2 linked regions of the Coturnix japonica genome follow. The protein of the gene in region 1 binds, or shares a complex with, the protein of each later gene. Links are inferred from orthologs where the notes say so. Each region holds a gene or a part of one and is shown on either strand. Other genes may lie near its edges. The genes, in order: SIKE1 and SLMAP.

The links.
Region 2: the proteins of SIKE1 (region 1) and SLMAP are in contact, whole or in part, in a crystal structure (PDB 6AKM), measured with the Homo sapiens proteins. The link is inferred for Coturnix japonica from reciprocal best matches to the Homo sapiens genes SIKE1 and SLMAP. Residues at the interface, in NP_079349.2 of Homo sapiens: Ile5, Ile8, Leu9, Ala12, Lys13, Leu16, Leu19, Arg20, His22, Asp23, Ala26, Glu27, Leu29, Val30, Ser33, Ala34, Leu36, His37, Val40, Met43, Arg44; in NP_001291349.1 of Homo sapiens: Leu168, Tyr171, Leu172, Glu174, Ala175, Arg178, Glu179, Met181, Leu182, Lys185, Thr188, Leu189, Leu192, Leu193, Ile195, Thr196, Ala199, Ser200, Thr202, Ser203.

What each region holds. Positions count from the first base shown.
Region 1 is NC_029541.1:3,922,455-3,926,793, forward strand, and holds SIKE1 (suppressor of IKBKE 1), read right to left. Parts: upstream 2,914-4,339; 5' UTR 2,783-2,913; coding exon 2,476-2,782; intron 2,389-2,475; coding exon 2,246-2,388; intron 1,698-2,245; coding exon 1,584-1,697; intron 1,236-1,583; coding exon 1,146-1,235; 3' UTR 369-1,145; downstream 1-368.
Region 2 is NC_029527.1:6,442,375-6,446,909, reverse strand, and holds the start of SLMAP (sarcolemmal membrane-associated protein), read right to left. Parts: upstream 2,942-4,535; 5' UTR 2,919-2,941; coding exon 2,721-2,918; intron 1-2,720. UniProt on the Homo sapiens protein: Associates with the striatin-interacting phosphatase and kinase (STRIPAK) core complex, forming the extended (SIKE1:SLMAP)STRIPAK complex.

The sequences.
Region 1 (4,339 bases):
GACGGGCCGCGGCCGGGCCGACAGATCGAGGGCTCCCCCCGGCTCTGAGGCCGCTCCCCTCGGGCTCCGTGTCCCTTAAGCCCCGCGGGCACCGAACCCCGCAGCGCCGGGCGCCCCCGGCCGGGCGGACTCACCCCAACAGCTCAGCGCCCCCGCTCCAGCGCCGCCATGAGCAGCACGGCACCGCACGTAGGAACTAATCCCGGCCTCTCGCGAGATCGCGGGGCGGGGCCGCGCCTGCGCCCTCACGGCCACCGGCGGCAGCACGGTGCGCATGCGCAAAAGCCAACGGCACCGCCATAGCGCGGGATCCACGTGGGACGGGGCGACGGGACAGCATTGATACAATACAGAATACAGCACAAAAATGGCTGTAAATTGCTTTATTCCATCTTAAAATAGTCTAGGAAAGAAGTCTGTACAATGCTCCTCAACAGGAGTCCCATATATCAACTAAACACCTTTATCTGCATAATCCAAATAGACTCATAACACACACAGTTGCTTTATCTATCAAAACTAAGTAAAAACAGCATCAAAAAGTAACAGTGACAATTGGGTGTCATTGAATTACATTGAAAACAGCATGAAAATGCCACTGAGAGCATCACAATATCAATATAATATATATATATATATATTATATAATATATATTATATATATAATATTATATATAATATATATTATTATAATATAATATAATATTAATGTGAGCAAATACTGAGGGTTGGGTCCTCAAAGCCAAAGCTCCACTGTGCAGGCAGAGCAAGGTATCAACTTGTTATAACATAGACTTCAATTCTTCTTCCTTCTAGCAAATACAACATCCAGGAGCTGTATTGTGTTCCCCATATCAGGCAGTTCTAAGTGACAGCTGGAATTGCCGAGGAAAGCTTATGGAAGTAACACTCGTGAGATAAACTGCCACAAAAGAGCCGGCACCAAAAGCACTTGGTTCACTTGGTTGATAATACAGAGCAGCAATACAAGCCTTTGCCATCAGGAGTGTGTGATTGCAGAGTAACACAGGGCACACATTGGGATAGATGGAACATGTGAAACACCTGAAGAACAAGTTACAGATCGTCCTTTGTTGGGTGGCTTCAGAACAGTCTCTGAAGTCAAGGTTTGGGTGTGTTGTGATCTAAGCTTCGCTGTCACGCACATCGTCCCTCCCGAGCTCAAAGGATTCCTTGCTGATGGACAATAGTTCCCGAAGCTCTTTGTTTTCGAGCTGCAAAAAGAAAAATAATAATCAGTATTTCAACTGAGATAGAGATGAGTTAATTAACAAAGATTACAGACTGTTAATTAAGTAGCCCCATTCCTTCACAGCCGAATAGAAATCTAGAACTCAAACTAATGTTTACAAGGGATGAAGCACATCACTTTAAAGGACACCTTTTACTTTGGGCTTTATCGTTAAGATGACAGAAATACAAAGAACTTAAACAGAAAATGTTCCTTGCCTCCCAACCTCACCCACCATCCCTGTTTTTTATTGTTATTAACACCTGACACACACAACCATCTATAGTCCCCAAAAGCTTGATCTGTCCTTAGCGATGTCGTGGGTTCTTACCTCCAGCTGAGCTAGTTTCTCCTGTACCTTGAAGAACTGATCATCATCCACGTGTACAGCTTTTCTCATCACTTCACCCATCTCACATATCCTGTCTATTTGTCCTTCAATTTCCTGAAAGACATGGGGAAAAAAAACAAACACCGTTAATACATTCAGGCAAAAGCAGTAATAATTTATTCCTTATGAATCCATTACTTTCATGTTATTAATTCTGGACTACTTTCCCATTTTGAATCTTAATCTTTCCCTCCCAACCACTTGTAATCCTCCCTGCTTTAAGACAGCATCACATACCTCAACACACGGCAGCTTATAGGGATTTTGGAGGCTCTTTTCCTTTTGTTACAGTTACTCAACAGTAATGATAACCACCTCTGCTGTGCTCCTCTTAAGTGAAAACAAAGCTATTAAAGCTTAACCCCAGGAATGTATCACCCAGAGCACACAGCAAGCCTTCACCTGGACAACCAAAGGCTCGTGCTGTTCAGGATGCTCTGTGATAATTTACAACCTGTGAGAAGAATGCAGGGAAAAGATCAAATACCAAAGGGACCAGAGCTTGAAAGAAGGCTCCTGGAGCAGAATGGGCCCGTGAAAGGAGACAAACGTTGCATGAAAGCAAACCAGAGAGCAAGTTCCTCATCCCCATCCCACCTTACCACAGAGTTGGCCTGATGAACTTTCAGCACTGGTTCCGCATCTTCACCTTTTCTCCCTTGCAACAGCTGCAACATCTGCTTCCTGTATTTGCTCATGATGAGCTCTAAGGCGTCCTGGTGCTCCTCCAGAGAGATCCACAGCGCTACGGGACAGGGATCGCAGCGTTACACGGCACCACGCGACCCCCCCGGTGCACCGAGAGCCGTCAGCCCCATCCCGTCCGACTCACCGCGGTTCTCCTGCCGCAGGTCGCGGATCTGCGTGTTCTCCTGGCACAGCAGCGTGTGCGGCCGCAGCCGGGAGCCGTCAGCACCATCCTCCGTTACGCTCCGACCCCGCCGGGACGCGGCCGTGGGCGCCGCCGCCGCCGCGCTGCCCTTGTCGGCCGGCCCCGCACCCGCCTCCCGCATAGCGGCCACGCGTTGGTGCAGGACGGCGGACTGATCGATGAGCGACTCGGCGGCGGTGTCGTGCTCCTTCAGCCGCTCCAACAGGGTCTTGGCGTCCGTCAGGATCTTCTCGATGGTGCAGCTCATGGTGGGCGCAGGTCGGGCCGCGCTGCTCAGTCCCGCGGCGGCCCCATGTCCCGCACAGCGCACGGACCGAACCCGCTCGGCACAACAACACCCGCACAACAGCCGCTGCCTTTTCCGGGCCGGCTCCTCGCCCCGCAGCTGCGCAGCCGTGAGCTGAGCCCGGAGCTGAGCCCGCACCGCCGCCTGCTGGAGGCCGCTGGGTGCGGGGATGGTGTTAAACGCGTGGATCCAAAGCTCCCCGCTGTCACACGGCGTGGATCTGAGAGCCGGCAATGGGAGCTGCTCTGTTTGCACAGCGCAGGTGGCCGTGACCCACGGGGGGTCCTGGTTATCTTGATTTCAAACTCCTTTAAATCCTGGGCTGACATCTTATCTGTATCCCTGTTTGTCCCTCCGACAGTAAACATCCTCTCCTCAAGTTAAAATAACAAGCTGTGCAGTGCTGACTTCGTTCTTTGTTATTTGCTCGCTGTAACCGCCCGTAGCCACCCGTGGTGATTCTGCTGCTTCGCTTCTCGTCGTGTCACGTTTTCCTTTGATACTTTCTAAGCAGTGTTTTAGCAGTGTCAGCAGTTCTGCTGCCTGCAGCCACCCTGCGGGCTTACATCTCCTTTGGGACACACTCAACAATTCAGCTGTTCGTGCCTTTCACCCTATTCTAGTTAAGGAAGTTCCGTGGTACCAAATTTACAACCTGTTGCACTTAAATCCCATCGTACAGCCCGGGGGACTCAGTGAGATCAATGCAGCACCAGCAATTCAATTCACATCAGCTGGGAAGTCAGACTGAAGCAGCAGGAGCACACACTACACCTCAGCACAAGCTGCACTTGGGTTGTATGTCTGAACCTATTCTGTTTCTTACACTTCTCCTTCCCTTTGGGCATGATTTAATGCTCACTCTTCCCTTCCTTCAGAGATATCATTCCGGCCTTTCATGCCACGTGGAGACAAGGGAGAGGCACTGCTTTATCAGGCTTCCATGTCAGGATTGTCTGAGTGTCTGAAATAAAGACACAGAATGAAAAGGAGATGAAGTCCTAATGTGTCCCATGCCCCCACTCAGGGCCGTGGCTCGCTCCCTGCCCAGCAGATCTCTTGACACAGAATCATTAGTTCCACTCCCAGAGGACAGCAGAATGAGTTCATGTGGCGCCAGGACCGACCCGATCCCAGTAGCACAGCACTCCTGTATCTAAATGCTGCTCGTGCTTCTCACCAGGACTTCTCTTATGTAGCAACAGAGCTTAAACAAAGCAGCGGATGAGCGATCTCAGGGCAGTGGTGTCTTATAATTCCTTTGGCTTATCACATCAGCGCTGTATAAACTGAAGAGAATGTATAAATTTGGCCTCTCAAGCATCTTAGTGTTTAACTTCGATTCGATTAAACACTTATGTATGTGTATAGAGTGAAAAATGGGGTTACAAGAGGTTAGTGCTTTAATGCTTTTAATAACTCTTAACCACATGACTGTATTTTGTCAAACAGAACGTGGATTTGTTCTAGCAGGAAAAAAATATATGCTAGATAGAAATATATTGAGGCTCTCCAAAA
Region 2 (4,535 bases), on another chromosome or scaffold:
AACCCTCCAAAAAACAAATGCAATTTGAAATACCTTCTTTTAACTGCTGCTGTTTTCTTGTGGCCTTGAAGACTCATCCCACTTTTATCATTACTAATGCTGGTGTGACACAGGCATTATCTCCTTACTACAAGGCAGCTTTTTGCACATATGGACTGCCCTTATACTAAGTTTCGAGGTTGTCTCTGCCTCAAAAAGTTTGTTTACTGACCAGCTGTCTTGCCCATACTTTACTAATGCTCCCTCTCCCCACTTTCCACCCTTCCCTACAGATTACGCTGATACAGTTATTTGCAGACTATGTAGCACACACAGGACCATTCACATGATTCACTACAACAAAACAAACACAACTCCAAACCCTCAAGGAAAAAAACCAGCAGCACAGCAGAAAGGCGGCTGGAGAGGCAGCAGAGAGCACAGGCTGGGAATGCAGGATCTGCCATTGCCATCGAAGCACACAGCTTAGCAGCGCCTGGCCCCAGATGATTCATGAACTATTTTTACATTTCTCAAGGATTTCTCTTTGTTATTAAGTTAACATTTCACGGTCTTATCTCTCAGAAAAGCAATATTGGTAAGAGTCTTATTGATAAGCTTCTAAGAAATGTTTACAACCGCTACGGCAAAAACAACTTGGGCAGACCTATATATACATCCCGGATAGGATAATGATACGTTCCTACATGAGATACACGTATGAGAAGATCTGTAAACAATGGCAATGAACATTCCCGCATGCAAATATTCCAGCATAATTTAGGTTTTTGTTTATTCATTTAACACACCACAGCGTTTTAAGCAGCTTTTGTGATTCCAGATTAAGATTGTATTTACCACCACCCACCTTTTCCCAGCAGCACTTCATATTCTCTCCTTCACTGCATTTCCCCCCCTCCTCCAACTCCGTCTTCCCTAAATGTACCACTGTTGTCATGAAGCAAACAGAATCCAAAGCTCTGTGTTCTGCTTTATCAATTCTTTCTGCCTTTTGCAATGCTCCAACATGTAAAACGTACAGTGATACATTCCTGTGCATCATCTGAAACCCCACTCTTTATTTAGTTATCACTATGGCTACTGATCCAGATTCTCATTTGCGCAATTTTCATCAAGATTCCCCCCATCAACTTCTCACATGATGGTATTTCAAGAGCTATCACATGTTACCATCTTATTTACTACTACCAAGTTGCTATTTTAGATCAGCTAAAGATAAAAGGAATAAGCGTATCATTTTTTGACACGTGTTAGAGGAGCTAATGCTAACTAAATATTTAAGAACAGTACTAAACAACAACTGGGTCCCTCTTCACCTCTTCTCTGAGTTAGCAGAGTTGCTCAACATTCAGTGTTTTCTCTAATTAAACCACCTGTAATACGCCTAGAGTATTTATAGCCATCACAGGGCACATAAGGGTCTTAAAATGCTTATTAAGAATGAAAATGTTGATTAAAAAAACCATATGTACAATACCTTTACAATTCAAATCAGTACAATAAAGTAAAACCTTTCCCTTTGTGTCAAAAAACAGTTAAAAACTGAGCTTAAACTAAAATTAGCCATATTTCATGCACTTAAGATCTTAAGAGTGTCCAAGAATGTATATCACAAACATTATAGATCCAAAACAGTATTTTTAATGAATCACAGATAGCAGTTCACACAATTACAAGTAACTTGAAAGCCATGCCATAACCCAGCCTCACGAAATTAAACGCTTGTCTTGTCCCATCATGCCCAGGTGTTGCATAACAGGGGATAGCTAACAATGGAAGGTTTAAGAACTTTGTTCTACTGCCCTTCATGCTGTGTCACACTAGTAAAAAACACAGCATTCATTACTGACTTTATTATTCCTGAAATCAAGAGCTACACTGACCGCATTTCTCAGAAGAGCGTGCAGGGAAGCTTAAAGAGAAAAAGAAAAAGGAGCTAATTTGTACCAGGTGGAGTTTCAGGGTGGAACATCAACACATGAGGAAGAAAATAACAGCACAGAGCAACTGAAATCTGCACTTCGTTCCCTTCTTGTTGAAATTTAAGTTCACAGCCATTGAGTGAAATGGCTTTACTTGTCCCAGTTCAAACCCTAGCGGACAAAACATGCACTACAGAACCTGTGTATTTCACATAACACCACAGCTACTGCCTTTCTGAGGGAAACAGCAGCAGGTTAATACATCTCCGGATGGATTTTAATACCATTTTCACTAGCAATGAGAAAATACCTTGTATGCCATCTGCTACACCCCCACTACCCACCGGGTCCAAACAAAACACGCTATATATGATTTCAAAAATGTAGGAAGAGCAGCACACAAACCCAGCACGCTTTTAAATCTGCTTTCTGCCAGCTGCTCAAAATGGGATTTATTTACACGCTCAGTTAATCAGTTCTTAGTATTTGGAAAAAAAAATAAACGTATTATTCACACAAGTCTGAGCCATATCTGTAATTATTACTCACCTCAAAATCACGCACTCCAGCACGCACATTTTTCAGCACTGTTAGCTTTAAGTACTTTTAAGAACTGACAAAGTTTCAGCTTGGTAAGAAATTATCAGTTTACCAGAGAATTAATCACTAACTATAACACAATCCTTCCACACACAGCCACGTTTATTACGGTGAAACAAAAGTGATCTGCAATATTTGGGGACTCGCTCAAATAAATAAGGTTTGCTATTTTTAAATCAAGCAAGCAAAACATCTTACCTTGCCTGTCTTGTGATCAAACCAGACAAGTGCGTGGTTCCTGGACAGCACCTTACAGTCAAAAGTCGCATTATTCTGAGCTGGCCTGCAGCGAGCCACTGAGCGGCCGATCTTGACGGGCTCATCCAGGTAGACATGACGCTCCTGAAACGGATGGGAGTTGGGGCGGCAGGTGAAGATGGCCAAGGCTGAAGGCATCGAGGACAGATTGGGGTTGCCACACCAACCAGAGACGAAGACAACCTCTTCTGATGCAGATGCAGACCGTCCTCCACGATTTTTATGCCAAACTTCCACAGCAAGTTTACATTAAAGCACGACAAACATTATCGCATACGAGAGGCCTAACAACTCATGGTTTCAGTGTGTAAACTAATTCTGGCAATAATCCAGTGAAAAAGCCCCATTATGTCTCTTAACAACATCAGCAGTGGCCCAGAAAATGTCTAAAACGTACCACTTTCAATCCATCCTCCTCTGGAAGAACAGGAACAAGCATCTGATTTCTTCAGAGAGAAGGAAAGGCTCCTTGAGAGAAGGAGAGAACGTCTTAAATCCAAGTGGATGAGTCATACAAATACTTTTGTTTGGGACCTCGACCGCCTCCTTTTTTTTCCCCCTTCCGTAAACAACACTGACCACCGCACCATGGAAGCAAAGAGAGGTTTAGGGAAGGGGGAAAAGGACCCGAGTCCTCCCTCAGAGCTCACGGAGCAGAAAGGCGGTCGCAGAGCCCGCACTCCGCAGCGGGGATCGGGTCGTGTCACAGGGCGGTCCGCATCTCCTCATCATCGTCCATTAAAGCAGACAGGCGCTCCTCGGGCCGGGCTACCAGAGCGACGCCGAACCCCAGATAAAGCCGAAGCGCTCTACAGCCCCGCGAAGCCGCTGGGCCGAGGAGCTCGGTGCGGCATGGAACGGGCTCGCGGCTCCGCTCTCAGTTCCAGGCCGGCGGGCAGCTCGCTGGGCCCCAGGCGCTCTGACAGCTCGCTGCGGCTCCGGGTCGCTGCCGGCGGGGGGCGGCTCCAGGAAGTCCCTCCGAAGCCCCCACACCGCTCCGGTAGAGGGGGCGGCCCACGGCTCCGCTCAGCCCCGCCGCAGGTGGCCGCTCATGGGGGGCCGCCCCGCGCCTTCTCCGCACGCCGAGCGCGTCTCCTTCGGGCCCGGCGCTGTGAGGGCCCGGCGCTGTGAGGGCCTGGCGGCGGGGCCCGCTCGGTAGCTCTGCCTCTCAGGCGGCCGCCGACCGCGAAAACTTTCCTCCGACCTGCGGAGCCGAAAACAAACCGGGTCAGATTCGTTCCCCGCCCGGCGCGGCCCCGCGCCTCCCCCCGGCCCAGCGGCGCCCGACCCCGAGGGAGCAGCGGGGGCGCGGCGGAGCCCCGCTCCCTCCCTTACCTTCAGCGCAGCCGCCGCCATAGTGACTGGAAACCTACCCGGTGTAACAGCCGCGGCGCTGCCGGGGAGGGGCGGGGGTCGGAGGGCGGAGCCGTGCTCGGCGGGGCCCCGACCATAGGGAACGAGCGGCGGCCGCCCCCGGCTGTGGAGCTGGAGACTGCGCAGGAGTGGATCGGCCTCCGGCTCATGCGCGGTGCTGCCCGTGAAGCTGCGGCACAGGAGGAGCAACGCCCTGAGCCGGGTGACGGGCTGAGGGAGCCGGCGGGAGCCTCAGAGCGGGACGGGAGGGAGGGAGAGGCGGCTGGGGCCGGCAGCAGGTGGGAGCTGGGAGGTGACAGGGCTCCGCCCGCCGCCATCCCGCAGCCCAGCCGGCGGAGCTCCGCGCACATCCCGCTCTGTGCTGCAGCTCGAGCGGCGGGT